2 linked regions of the Struthio camelus genome follow. The protein of the gene in region 1 interacts with the protein of each later gene in a pairwise test. Links are inferred from orthologs where the notes say so. Each region holds a gene or a part of one and is shown on either strand. Other genes may lie near its edges.

The links.
Region 2: the proteins of NCK2 (region 1) and VARS2 interact in binary tests that used the Homo sapiens proteins (3 or more experiments, as listed by UniProt). The two-hybrid records come from large-scale screens. The link is inferred for Struthio camelus from reciprocal best matches to the Homo sapiens genes NCK2 and VARS2.

What each region holds. Positions count from the first base shown.
Region 1 is NC_090942.1:154,296,060-154,303,023, reverse strand, and holds the start of NCK2 (cytoplasmic protein NCK2), read right to left. Parts: upstream 3,065-6,964; 5' UTR 2,702-3,064; intron 1-2,701. UniProt on the Homo sapiens protein: Adapter protein which associates with tyrosine-phosphorylated growth factor receptors or their cellular substrates. Maintains low levels of EIF2S1 phosphorylation by promoting its dephosphorylation by PP1.
Region 2 is NC_090977.1:635,640-643,056, reverse strand, and holds the start of VARS2 (valine--tRNA ligase, mitochondrial), read right to left. Parts: upstream 3,101-7,417; coding exon 2,891-3,100; intron 2,656-2,890; coding exon 2,427-2,655; intron 1,777-2,426; coding exon 1,676-1,776; intron 1,036-1,675; coding exon 923-1,035; intron 66-922; coding exon 1-65. Other genes in the region: GTF2H4 (general transcription factor IIH subunit 4), read left to right, coding at 5,214-5,344, 6,631-6,735. UniProt on the Homo sapiens protein: Catalyzes the attachment of valine to tRNA(Val) in a two-step reaction: valine is first activated by ATP to form Val-AMP and then transferred to the acceptor end of tRNA(Val).

The sequences.
Region 1 (6,964 bases):
CTGCTACTGAGGAAAGCCATGAGCACTGCAAAAGAACAGCACACCAACAGCAACAGAGGATACAAAAAAACAAGGGATGGAAAAAAAGGAGACTGCTGACCTTGTTCCTCCTCTTTAGCAGACATTAGTTGTGAGATGACACGTAAGATAGCAAATACCTTTCCTTACACTCTCACACAGCTAGCCAGGAAACTATAGAAGAAAATAGTGTGAGGAGGGAAAACGGACAGTAAGTTCCCTTTTCATTGCAGTAACAAGCCAAGGGCTGGAGTTTCAAATTAATCAGATATTCGGTAGTGCGAACACAATGCAGGCGACCATGCAGAGTTCTGCTGTTATTATTGGAAACATATAGAAAAGGAGATTTTGTATAACGTTGTATCATAACAACAACTGGAAATAGCATCTACTATAGGTAAAAAGCCAATGTAACAGCTAACATTGCAATGAGAGAACAATTACAGCCTACAGAAAATATTTTAACATAGGCCATGAAACAGATAATTACAGTCTGGACTGGTACAAGTGCCTTCTATCTCTACATTTATTCACAGTTCCCAAAAGTGACATCCTCTGTCAAAGTTTCAAGAAGACAAAGTTATAAAGACAAAACAATCTCTCCTTGGGGTAACAAAGCTTAAGATGTTATTACTTGGGTCCGACAGAAGATTTCAATTTCCAGAGTTTTAAGAACAGTATTTCTAAGAAGCAAAGTCATTTTACGTTAGAAGTTACAATCCTCAAAACAAAAACGCAGTAGCATTAACATTATCTACATGGTGCTGCCTGCTTAGGATCCCTAAAAAGCAGTGGTAGAACTAGCACTTTTGAAAAGAAGTTCTTAATAAGCTCCCACCCGGTAAGCCCTTTCAAATTCCTCCATATTAAGTCACCAGGCCAAACTCTCAGTGATATAAACCATGCGTGGTCAGGCCATGCAGATTTGTTTTTATAAGGGCATTACCATGTTTCATGAAAGAGACCTCTAATTCTCCTACATTAAGCAGTTACAAGAGTAGGCTCTCAGAAACAAGTGTTGCTTCAGAGCAAGTAAAAGAAACTGAATCCAGTCAGAGGAGCAATGCTTTAAATCTGTGCTGAGCTTTAATTAGCGTTCAAGTTTTAACCTAACAAACAAACAGGACGATTTGGAGTTAAACTACTTTTGGTTCACAGTATAGCTCTAATAAACACAGAAGGCCATATGCACTATAAAAAAAAACTAGTGGGAGATCTTAGCATACAAACTACAGTACAGAGGCACACATGATTCGGGTCACAAGTCAAACCTGAATTACAAGGCCAAATCCTCATCTGACAACTTTAACTGAGGTGGGCCACTGTACCCAACCTGCCAGCAAAGGTAGCTGTTTGTGTGGTCACACTGTCAATTAAAAACAGGGTAAAAAGATTTATAAACGCAAATATTTTTCCTCTCAATAGCCCCAGAGAGGTGGTACGTTTTGAACAAACGGTGTAATTTACCTATGTTGTGCTGCTGCAGCTTTTTGTCGTTTACCTACGTTAACATCAGTGTCGACTGATGTGGCGTATTATACCAATGTTCACTCTATCCCTCAGAAAAAAAGCGGAGGGGGAGAAAGGGAAGGCTTAGATCTATTAAAGCTGAAAGTAACCAGTGGAATGGGGGGCAGGGGGAGAAAGCAACGACAGTATAGCGGTACAGTTACCAGAATATTCCCACCCTGCAGGGGGTAAAGCTCGTTTGTTTCCAGTATTTTGTTCCGAACAGTGTCAGGCGCTGGGTTTCCCTTATTTAACTAATGGAAACGACCTACCGCTTTTAAAGCACTTATACGGCCCACTCCCCCGGACCGAGCCGCCGCCGCAGCAGCTTTTGGACACAGAGCACTTTTGTCCATGCCCTGAATACCAGGGATAATTCTCCAGAAAACTTTTTTTTTTTTTTTTAAACGCTTTTGACGGTGGTGCCGGTGCTACCCGGCTGCCCTCCTCCCAAGAGGGCTCGCGTAATGAAAAAGGAAAAAAAATAAAACAAAAGAAAATAAAAAGGAAGGAGGAAAAAAAGAAAAGGGCATTTCCCCTAGATTTACCCATGCCCAACGCGAGCTCACGGGCGAAGCCAACTTTATTTGTCGGCGGAGGTTATTCCGTGCCAATCTCTAGGCGAGTATTTTTATTTATCTCCCTAATCTTTGCCCTCGGGTAGCAGCCACCCCGGGCCGGGCCGGGCCGGGCCGGAGCGGAGCCCCGCGGGGGCGGCCCTGACACCCCCTTCCCCCCCGCAGAGGGGGGCGCCCCGGCCCTCAGCCAGGACGGCGGGTGACACAAAGCGGCGGCTGTCACACACAAACACACACAGGCCAACTCGGCGAGGATGAGGAGGAGGAGGAGGAGCCGCCTCTGCTCCTCCATTTCCCCCCCCCACACACACACAACGCCCGCGGCTGGACGTGGCACAGAAAACGCCCCCCCGCCCCCCCCCCCGCGGCAGGTAAATCCCCCCCACACACACACACACCCCGGGAGGAGGAGGGGGGGGGCCGCGAGCTCCCTCCCCCCCCGCCCCACCTCGCCCTGCCAACGGCCGCTCCCACCCCCCTCCTCCACCCCCGCCCCCCCCCCCCCCCCCGCTCCGGCCGCCCCAACGGCCCGCGGCGGCCACCACAACTTTGCGGCGGGTCCCGTCGCGCCCTGCCCTGCCCGCGGCCGCGCTTACCTCGGCCGGCGGGCGGGCAGCGGGGCGCTTAGTAATGGCAGCGGCGGGGAGGCTCCCAGCCCAGGCGGGCTCCGCTTCTTTGTCTCGGCGGCGGCGGCGATGCCTGCCTGCCTGCCTGCCCGCTCGCTCACCCCTTTCCTTCCCTCTTCCCTTCCGCGGGCGGATGCGGGCTGCGTCCTCCGAGAGGGGCCGGCTTCCCTCCCCCCCCCCTTTTCCCCTTCCTCTTCCTCCACCGCGCAGCGCCGCTCCGCGCCGGACGCGTCCAAGGCCCCGGCCCTCAGCGGCGGCTCCGCTCCTGCCTTCCCTCAGCCTGCTGCGCCCGGCGGCAGCGGCGGCGGCGGCAGCATCGGCCCCTCCCCCGCCGCCCCCCCCCCCCGACACAGCCCCCGCCCCCGCCCTGCCCTTCCTGCCGCTGCCGCTGCCGGGATGGCGCGGGAGGAGCTCCCTGAACTCTTGCCTCGCACCCCGGGAGCGCTGCCGCCGCCCGCCCCGGCCCTCCCGCGCCTCCCCGCCGCCGCCGCTGCTGCTGCGGGCCGGGGGCTTCCCGCTGGGCGGGGCCCTGCGCCCGCCGCGGAAACGGTCTCCCCTCGTATCCCCCAAACCCACCATCCCCTCCCCCATTTCCCGACACCTCAGGAAACCCGGCATCCCCAGTGAAAATCCCCCTCGGCAGGCAGCGGAAGCGCTGGGGAAAGTACCGGCGGGAGGCTTAAAGGAAACGGGGGGGGGGGGGCAGAGGGCAGCGCCGGGAAGGAGCCGCCGGGGCCGCGCTCGCCGGACCGGGGTACCGAACCGGCGACCCGCGGGGAACTTTCCGCCTTGGCATCAGGGCGCCCCCGCCGCCCATTGGCCGAGGGCCGTGACGTCACCGCGGGGCCCGCCGCGGGGCGCGGAGCGGGGCGCGGAGCGGTGCGCGGCCTCCGCCGCCGGTGTTGCCGTGCGCCTCGCGGCCCCTCTCCTGCTGCCGCTGATTTTTATTTTTATTTTTCTTAACCTCTTTCTGCCCCGCTGTAAACTTCCCAGCCTTCCCTCCCGCTTTAATCCGCGGGGCTCGCTTGCCTGCCCGGCGGGAGCTGGAGGTGCTCTGCGGACAAGGGCGCTCCTGCTGCCTGCCGACTTCTGCAGCCGCTTGGTTTTTCTCTTGAAACGCCACCGCGTGCAGTGGGGATGGCGCGGGCAGCGCCGGAAGAATTTTCCACGAGTGGCCAAAGAAGGATTTTCCCACAAATGGTTAAAGAAGACCAAAAAGAGAGGGGGGGAGGAAAAAAAAGCAGTCTTTGAGAATGAAATCTGTCGTGGAAAGGATCAACCCTCTTCGTGTGGCTGCCAGTCGCAGCAAGTTGTGGTGTAGGGGACAGTTTCTGCCCTGCCTCCAGGAACTGGGCTTCCTCTTCTCACAGGCAATCCTCTGGCAGGGTCCCCTCTAGGGGAAGGGAAACGTTTGTCCTTGTGGAGGGAACTGGAGAGTTTAGAAAAGAAAATCAATGTTGCAAGAGGAAGTCACTTTGAAACAGCCTGAAACTTGCAAACAATTAACCAGCTTCCACACATGCCTGCTCTGGAGAAGAGGCTTGTGCCTTGCCAGGGCTGGTTTAGTCTTTCTTCAGGTCATTTTTCCTGGCTTTGGAGGCAATAATATGCAATGCCACTTTTTCTAAACGCGGAGTAAATTCAGCAGTCCCCAAGAGCACTGTCTTATTTTCGCTGACCAAGGGAAAAATAGTGGGCAGAACTCAGCGCACAGATGTTTAGTGCTGAAACATTCCGGTATACATGTAAAAAAAAACCTTACTTCTTCTGAGGTTTTTTTGTGTTCCTTAACAGTTTATAAGCCTTTGAATAATTCCCTCTTCCTCTTTTTAACTTTTACTTATTCCTGCAACGTTTAATTGATGGTTTCAGATGTCCTAGTTGCCTTTCACGTGCCTGTTAGATAAAACTGAAAGAAAAATGCGGTCCCTTGTTTCCTCCGAGGAAGACTTTGCATGCCCCTCAGGGAAGAGCAGAAAGCCCCTTTCCTTTCAAGTCTTTTGCTGCACACGTTTGACTCTGATTCTGAGAAGTGTTAATCTCCCTTTCTGAGCAATAATCGGACAACGCTTTTTTTAGCCTGAGAAAATATTTGGGGTCCCAGGAATAGAAATTAAGATTGTGCTGTGCTCCCACTTCATGCAGATGAAGGCTGCATCGCTGCGGGCTGAGGCCTTGCTCGAGCCTCCCTTAAGGCTGGAGCCTGCGAGTGCGAACTCTGAATTTGAATGGGAGTGGTTGCTCAAGGATTTTCAGAAATAAGTCTCTGTGGTTCCCGGAGCAAAACGCACTGCGGGTAGCAGTAATGGAAAGCTGAATTATCCCTGCTCTAGTTTACATTTGTAATATACAGTTAGTTTCCAATTTCAGTTTTGTCCCATCTTGCCCCTCCCTGCTAACTTGGCTGTATAGAAATCTTCTGCTTCATTGTTTTTTTCTGCTGCGCTGTTGTGCTGAGGATGCACAGAGGAAGATGACATGACTACAAAGAGTACACAATCTAAATTAGATCTCTGAAAGGGTTCAGAAACATAAGACACCAAATGATCAGTCGATCTCAAAGCTTTCTAGGTGTCTGAAAAAATTAAAAAGCGCACCTAGCTGTAGCAGATTACTGCTAATAGGATTTATAGAAGAAGAATGTTTTAAAGAGGGATTTAAATGAACACATTGTCTTCATGCAAAGGACTAATTTAAGGACCCTGAAGCTTATTGTTGTTAAATATATTTAATTATTTTAAGGAATGAGCCATTAAAGATGGTTTTCCAAACTGTGGCTTATGACAAAGAAAAGATACTGTAAAAAGGGTTTGGAATGGTATTTTGAAAGGTATTTTAACAGCCTGTCTACTGAAAGTATCCTTCTGTTTCGCCAGCAAAAAGACTAACATGCTGCTTTGACTAGTATTTCAAAATGTTGAGCCTACTGAAATATTAATGTACACATTTTGAAATATCATAATTAACTGTTATCTCTAGAATAACTGTTACTTAAAAGATCTGAATCAGAATTAAATTCTGAATGTGAGAAGATGATAAATTTGGGGGAATCTGCACAGAAGTGAAAGCAATACATGATGTAGAGGGCACAGTATTTTGTATAAAGAAAGTAAATATGCAAAGTATACACTTTTGCATATGCATAAGAGTGGTGCAGTCCTTAGAAAATATATACACTGGAGAGAACAGCATGAATATTTCTCTCAGCCTAAGGCTATAACTGGATAGTAAAAATAAAGGAGAAAATGGTTAGGCAGTGGAAAGCTCTCTCTTCATCTTTGTTAAAGAAGCAGTCAGCTGTGTACTCCTGCCTAGAATAGGGTTACAGTCAAACAACAAAGCTAAAGGTTGTGTGACAGATTTACTCCATGATTGCATAGTGGCAGTCAGTTCATCTTGATACTCATAACTTGTACAAGAGGTTGAAAATTTGTATTTATCTTTCCTGTTTATCTTTACCTTTCTTTTTTTATGACTCCCCATTTTCTGTTTCATATGTAATGCTACCTGTGCTTTACCACGCGCCCGGAGGAGCGGTCGGTTGCTCATGGAAGGCAATGCAGCCGCCGTCTCTGCCACAGGTTGCAGCCTTACACATCTGAGAAATGCTAATACATTTGCACCTCACAGTGGCTAGGCCACGATTGCCACCTCTGAGGTGGGACTCCTTCCCCGTTCTGCACAAATACCTTATCCTTTGTCTAGATACTTCTGTCTTTCTTTCTTTTTTTTTCGCCAGCAGCTCTGTCTAGCATATGAATTAATACAGGCTGCCTTAGGCCAGTGTGAGAAGGAGGGTCTGGAACATCCTTCTAAATTCTGGAAGACAGCATTGTCCAGCTCAGAGACTGACAGTGAAGATACTTCGTATCTCCATGTCAGCGCATTGGAGAGAAAATATTCCTAAATCTAAACTCATTTATTTTGAAAATTGTTATTCCTGCTTCTCAAAACTGCTTTTTAAAGGAGATGATGTTATAATAAACTCCATTCATTTATGTGGGGTTGTAATTCTATGCCACTAAGAAAACGAAGAGATAAGGGAAGTACTAGATACGCTGGAAAAAATAACATACCTTTTAATTCTTTCTCATCTGAAAAAAAAAGTTCATCTTAAAAACAACTTTCAGAAAATTTCCCAACTTGTGATTAAGTTAATTTAAAAATGTTGAAAGCAATGTTAACGTGCGTTTTCTCCCCCCAGTCTGGTTCTTAAATGGTATGCATTCCCAC
Region 2 (7,417 bases), on another chromosome or scaffold:
GGGTGGCGATCCCGGCGTGGTCGGTGCCCGGCACCCACAGCACCGTCCAGCCCTGCATGCGCCGCCTGCCACAGCGCCGTGTCCCCGCGTGTCCCCCCCGCGTGTCCCCCCCCCGGCCCCCGGGACCCCCCAGCATCCAGGCGCACCCGGAGACCCCCCCGGGGACCCCCCCAGCACCCTAGGGTGCCCTGACACCCCCCCCGGGACCCCTCCCAGCACCCAGGGCCCCCCACCGGGGGGGCCCTTATAAGGGCAATTATATGACCCCCCACAGCACCCACGGGACCCCCCCTCAGCCCCACGGGACCCCCTGAGCACCTGGGGCACCCCAAGTCCCCCCCCAGCACCCTTGGGACCACCCCCCAACCCCACGGGACCCCTCCCAGCACCCAGAGCCCCCCAAGACCCCCCCAGGGCACTTCCATGACCCCCTCCCTCCACCTTTGGGACCCCCCCCCAGCACCTGCAGGATCCCCCCCCAGCACCCATGGGACCCTCCAGGCACTTCCATGACCCCCCCAGCACCCTTGGGACCCCCCCCAGCACCTACAGGACCCTCCGGCCCCCCCAGCACCCAAGGGCACCCTGGGGACCCCCCCCCAGCACCTACAGGACCCCCCGGCCTCCCCCAGCACCCAAGGGCACCCTAGGGACCCTCCCAGGCACCCATGGGAGCCCTCAGGCACTTCCATGACCCCCCCCAGCACCCTTGGGACCCCCCCCAGCACGTACAGGACCCCCCACCCCCTCCACAGCACCCAAGGGCACCCTGGGGATCCCCCCCAGGCACCCGTGGGAGCCCTCAGGCACTTCCATGACCCCCCCCAGCACCCTTGGGACCCCCCCCAGCACGTACAGGACCCCCCCACCCCCCCCAGCACCCAAGGGCACCCTGGGGACCCCCCCCCGGAGCGGGGCTCACCAGCGGGCCAGGGCGTCCTGCAGGGCGACGGTGAGCGCGTGGCCCAGGTGCAGGGAGCCCGTGACGTTGGGGGGGGGCAGCACCAGGCTCAGGCGCCGCTCGGCCCCCCCGGCCTGCGGGGAGGGGTCGGCGCTGAGACCGGGCGCCGCTCGGCGCAGCGACGGGGGCCGAGACGGGACACGGTGCGGGGAGGGGGTCGGCGCTGAGACCGGGCGCCGCTCGGCGCAGCGACGGGGGCCGAGACAGGACGCTGCGCGAGGTGGGGACGGGGCTGAGGCCCGGGCAGCGTTCGGCGCAGCGATGGGGCCGAGGCTGGAGGCAGCTTGGCGCAGGGACGGGGGCTGAGGCCAGGCAGCACTCGGCGCAGCGATGGGGGCTGAGACTGGGCAGTGCTCGGCGCAGGGATGGGGCTGAGGCCAGGCAGCGCTCGGCGCAGCGATGGGGGCTGAGACTGGGCAGTGCTCGGCGCAGGGACAGGGGCTGAGACCGGGCAGCACTCAGCGCAGGGACAGGGCTGAGGCCGGGCAGCACTCGGTGTAGCGATGGGGGCTGAGGCCGGGTAGCACTCAGCACAGGGACGGGGGCTGAGACCGGGCGCCGCTCGGCGCAGCGATGGGGGCTGAGACCGGGCAGCACTCAGCGCAGGGACAGGGCTGAAACTGGGCAGTGCTCGGCGCAGCGATGGGGGCTGAGGCCGGGTAGCACTCGGCGCAGCGATGGGGGCTGAGGCCGGGCGCTGCTCGGTGCACTCACCGGGGGCCGGGGGGCGAAGAGCCCCCGCCGCTCCCACCAGCTGTACCAGGCCGCCTCCACGTAGCGGGGGCTGTAGGCGGGCGGCAGCGGCTCCTCCACCCCTGCCGCGGCCCAGGGCGTCACCCCGCCGGCCCCCGCGTCACCCGCCCGTCACCCTGCCAGCCCCTGTGTCACCCGCTCGTCACCCTGCGTCACCCCGCCGGCCCCCGCGTCACCCGCCCGTCACCCTGCCAGCCCCTGTGTCACCCGCCCGTCACCCTGCGTCACCCCGCTGGCCCCTGCGTCACCCGCCCGTCACCCTGCCAGCCCCTGTGTCACCCGCCCGTCACCCTGCGTCACCCCGCCGGCCCCCGCGTCACCCGCCCGTCACCCTGCCAGCCTCTGTGTCACCCGCCCGTCACCCTGCGTCACCCCGCCGGCCCCCGCGTCACCCACCCGTCACCCGCCTGTCACCCCGCCAGCCCCTGCGTCACCCGCCCGTCACCCGCCTGTCACCCTGCCAGCCCCCGCGTCACCCGCCCGTCACCCCCGCGTCACCCCACCTGATCCCCGTGTCACCCACCCGGCACCTGCGTCACCCTGCCAGCCCCCGCTGTCACCCGTGTCACCCCGCCGGCCCCCGCATCACCCGCCTGTCACCCCGCCTGACCCCTGTGTCTCCCCACCTGTCACCTGTGTCACCCCGCCGGCCCCCGCGTCACCCTGCCCGTCACCTCACCTGTTGCCCCGTGTCCCCCCCGCCCCCCCGTACCCTTCCGCCCGTCGGGGCCCAGCGACCCGCCGTACTCCAGCTGCGCCTTGGGGGCCCAGGCCTTGGGGGGGGCAGCCGGTGCCTGGGGGCCGCGACACGCTGCGACACGCCGCGACACGCCGTGACACGCCACGACACGCCGCGACACGCCGCGACCCGCCCCGGCCCCTCTCCACCTCTCCCAGTCCCCCCCAGTCCCTCTCCCACCCCCCAGTCGCCCCCCAGTTCCCTTGAGCCCCCCCAGTCCCCCCCAGTCCCTCTCCCACCCCCCAGTCGCCCCCCAGTTCCCTTGAGCCCCCCCAGTCCCCTCCCAGTCCCTCTCCCACCCCCTAGTCGCCCCCCAGTCCCCCCGAGCCCCTCCCAGTCCCTCTCCCAGGCCCCCAGTGGCCTCCAGTTGCCCCCCAACCACCCCAGCTTCATCTCCCAGTGCCCCCCAGTGCCCCCCAGTGGCCCCCCCGGCGCACCTGGGCCCCGGCGCCCCCCAGCTGCGCCCGCTGCTGCCGCCGCCGCTGCCGCCGCTCCTTGTGGGCCCGGGCCTGGAGCTGGGCGCCGGCGGGGGGCCCGGCGGCCCCCCCCCCGCTGCGGCCCCGGCCCCCCCCGGGCCCCCCCCGCGCCCAGGGGCCCGCTCCGCTGCCGGCGCCCCGCAGAGCCCGCGCCAGCGCCGGGGCCGCCATGCTGCCTGGCGGGCGGCGGGGCGCTGAGGGCCCAGGCGCCCGGGTGGGTGCCCCCCTCCCCCCCACCAGCGAGGGGCCCAGGCGTCCGGGCACCTCCCCCCGCCCAGGGACCCCCGGGTGCCCTCCCCCACGAGGGGCCCAGGCATCCAGGTGCCCTCCCCCGGGGGGCCCAGGCGTCCGGGCACCTCTCCCCCCAGGGACCCCCGTGTGCTCCCCCCCGGAGGGCCCAGGCGTCTGGGTGTTGCCCCCCCCCCAGGGACCCCCGTGTGCCCTCCCCCCAAGGGGCCCAGGTGTCCGGGCAGCTCCCCTCCTGGAGACCCCGGTGACCCGCCCCCCACGAGGGGCCCAGGTGTCCGGGTGTCCCCCCCCCCGGGGACCCCCTTGTGCCCTCCCCCCTGGGGGGCCCAGGCGTCCGGGCAGCTCCCCCACCCAAGGGACCCCGGCGTCCCCTCCCCGCCCCAGGGGCCCAGGTGTCCGGCTGTCCACCCCCCCCAGGGGCCCAGGTGTCCGGGTGTCCCCCCGCCAGGGGCCCAGGTGTCCGGCTGTCCACCCCCCCCCCAGGGGCCCAGGTGTCCGGGTGTCCACCCCCCCCCCCAGGGGCCCAGGTGTCCGGGTGTCCACCCCCCCCAGGGGCCCAGGTGTCCGGGTGTCCCCCTCCCCAGGGGCCCAGGTGTCCGGCTGTCCACCCCCCCCCCAGGGGCCCAGGTGTCCGGGTGTCCCCCCCCCCAGGGGCCCAGGTGTCCGGGTGTCCACCCCCCCCCCCAGGGGCCCAGGTGTCCGGGTGTCCCCCCCCCAGGGGCCCAGGTGTCCGGCTGTCCCCCGCCCCCCCCCAGGGGCCCAGGTGTCCGGGTGTCCCCCGCCCCCCCCGGGGGGGCCCAGGTGTCCGGGTGTCCCCCCCCCAGGGGCCCAGGTGTCCGGGTGTCCCCCGCCCCCCCCGGGGGGCCCAGGCGTCCGGCTCGGGCTCTCTCTCACCTTGGCGCGCGCGGCGGTGGCGGCAGTGCCGGCGGGGGCGGGGCCCGGCGAGGAGAAGGGGGCGGGGCCCGGCGCGGCCCCACGTGGTCCCGCGCGGGGCAGGGCGGGAAGGGGGCGGGGCCGAGCCGGGAGCCGGGGCGCGCGGTGAGACGGGGGCGATGGGGGGGGGGCGGCGGGACCCCGGGTGCCACCGTGTCCCCGACCCCGGTCACCCCGTGTCACCCCGTGTCACCCCGTGTCACCCCGTCCCCCCTCCGTCACCCCGTGTCACCCCATCTCCCCCGGATCACCCGGTGTCACCTCGTTCCCCCCCCCCGGGTCACCCAGTGTCACCCCATCTCCCCCTCCCGGTCACCCAGTGTCACCTCGTCTCCCCCCCGGGTCACCCAGTGTCACCCCATCTCCCCCTCCCGGTCACCCAGTGTCACCCCGTCCCCCCCCCGGGTCACCCCGTGTCACCCCATCTGCCCTCGGTCACCCAGTGTCACCCCATCTCTCCCTCCCGGTCACCCAGTGTCACCCTGTTCCTCCCCCCGGATCACCCCATGTCACCCCATCCGCCCTCGGTCACCCAGTGTCACCCCATCTCCCCCTCCCGGTCACCCAGTGTCACCTCATCTCCCCCTCGGTCACCCCGTGTCACCCCATGTCCCCCTCCCGGTCACCCAGTGTCACCTCGTCTCCCCCCGGGTCACCCCGGGTCACCTCATGTCCTCCTTGGGTCTCCCCCCCCCAGTTCACCTGGTGCCACCCCATCTCCCCCTCCCGGTCACCCAGTGTCACCCCGTCCCCCCCAGGTCACCTGATGCCACCCCCCTACGTCACCCAGTGTCACCCTGTGCTCCCATCACCCAGCGCCGGTCACCCTGGTCATCCGGTGTCACCTTATCTCCTCCTTGGGTTTGCCCTCCGGCTCACCTGATGTCACCCTCCCCGGTCACCCAGTGTCACCCCATCCCCCCTCCCCGTCACCCGGTGTCACCCCGTCCCCCCTCCCCGGTCACCCGGTGTCACCCCCCCATCTCCCGCCGGGACTCACCGCGCCGCGCTCTTTCTCCCCTCCTGCCAGGTGTCCCCGTCGGCCGTGTCCCCGTCGGCGGTGGCGGGGTGCCCGTCGGCCGTGTCCCCGCCGCCCCCCGCCATGGAGGGGCCCCCCCGGGTGCCGCGGGGGCAGCTGCAGTGCAAGAACCTGCCCGAGTTCCTGCAGGGGCTCAGCCCGGCCCTGCTCGACCGCCTCTACGGCCACCCGGCCACCTGCCTGGCCGTCTTCCGGTGAGACCCCCCCCGGGCACCCCCCCCGGGCACCCCGACCCCCCCCCCGGGCACCCTGACCCCCCCCAGAGCACCCCCACCCCGTCCCGGGGCACCCCGACCCCGGCCCGGCCCTGCTCGACCGCCTCTACGGCCACCCGGCCACCTGCCTGGCCGTCTTCCGGTGAGACCCCCCCCCGGGCACCCCCCGGGGCACCCCGACCCCCCCCCCGGGCACCCCGACCCCCCCCCCCGGGCACCCCGACCCCCCCCAGAGCACCCCCACCCCGTCCCGGGGCACCCCGACCCCGGCCCGGCCCTGCTCGACCGCCTCTACGGCCACCCGGCCACCTGCCTGGCCGTCTTCCGGTGAGACCCCCCCCCGGGCACCCCCCGGGGCACCCCGACCCCCCCTCGGGGCACCCTGACCCCCCCCCGGGCACCCTGACCCCCCCCAGAGCACCCCGACCCTCCCCGAAGCACCCCAACCTCCTCCAGGAACACCCTGACCCCCTCCCAAGCCCATCCCAGACCCCTTGACCCCCCCCCCAAGGCCCTCCGATCCCCTCGGAGCCCCCTGACCCCCCCCAGGAGCCCCCTGAGCCCCCCATAGGCCCCCCCACTCCCCCTCAGGCACCCCGACCTCCCCCCAGGAGCACCCTGACACCCCCTCGGGTGCTCCCCCCCACCCCCCTCGGGCACCCCTGACACCCCCTGGAGCACCCCAACCCCCCCCGCCCGGCCCCCCACTCCCCCCCAGGCACCCTGACACCCCCAGCAGCACCCTGACCCCCCCCAGAGTCCCTTGAGCCCCCTGACTCCCCCCCAGGAGCACCCCGACCCCCCCCCTCGGAGTCCCCAGAGCCCCCTCAGCCCCCCAGGAGCACCCTGACTGCTCCCCTGGAGCCCCCCGACACCCTTAGGGGCCCCCTGACCCCCCCAGCCCCCCAACTCCCCCCCAGGAGCATCCTGACACCCCGCAGGAGCACCCTGAGCACCCCATGGGCACCCTGACCCCCCCAGGAGCACCCTGAGCCCCCCATAGGCCCCCCCCACCCCCGCAGGCACCTCGACCTCCCCCTTAGGGGCCCCCTGACCCCCCCCCAGGAGCACCCTGACCCCCCCCAGCCCCCCAACTCCCCCCCCAGGAGCATCCTGACACCCCGCAGGAGCACTCTGAGCACCCCATGGGCCCCCCCCAGGCGCTCTGACCTCCCCCTTAGGGGTCCCCTGACCCCCCCCCGGGCGCCCCCGACCCCCCCGGGCGCCCCCGACACCCACCCACGCCCCCCCCCCCCGCGGCGCAGGGAGCTGCCGGGGCTGGCGCAGGCCGGGGTGCTGCGCATGCTCTTCGTGGAGCAGCCCCTGCCCCAGGCCGCCGTGGGTCTCTGGGTCAAGAAGGAGCACAGCAGGTGGGGCGGGGGCTCCCGCGGGGGCCGGGGGGCTCCCGGCGGGGTCCCGGCGGCGGGCTGGGGGTCCCGGGGGGCTCCCGCGGGGGCCGGGGGGCTCCCGGCGGGGTCCCAGTGGCGGGCTGGGGGTCCCAAGGGCACCCATGGGTGAGCTGGGGGTCCTGGGGAGTACCTGAAAGATGGGCTGGGGGGGGTCCCAGGGGCACCCATGGGTGGGCTGGGGGTCCTGGGGGTGCTCATGAGTGAGCTGGGGGGGTCCCAGGAGGCACCCATGGGTGGGGTGGGGGTCCTGGGGCTGCCCGTGGGTGCTAGACCATGTCTGAGGGTGGGCTGGGGGTCCTGGGGGAAACCCGTGGGTTCCAGGGGACATCTGAGGGTGGGCTGGGAGGTCCCGGGGGCACCCGAGGGGGGGTGGCGGGTGGCAGGGGACTCTTGTGGGTCCCAGGGGGCACCTGGGGGTGGACTGGGGGTGCTGGGGGTGAGCCGGGGGTGGGCGGCGGGTGCCAGGGGAGCCCACGGGTACCGCGGGACACCCGTGGGTGGGCTGGGGGTGAGCCGGGGGTGGGCGGCGGGTGCCAGGGGAGCCCGCGGGTACCGCGGGACACCCGTGGGTGGGCTGGGGGTGAGCCGGGGGTGGGCGGCGGGTGCCAGGGGAGCCCGCGGGTACCGCGGGACACCCGTGGGT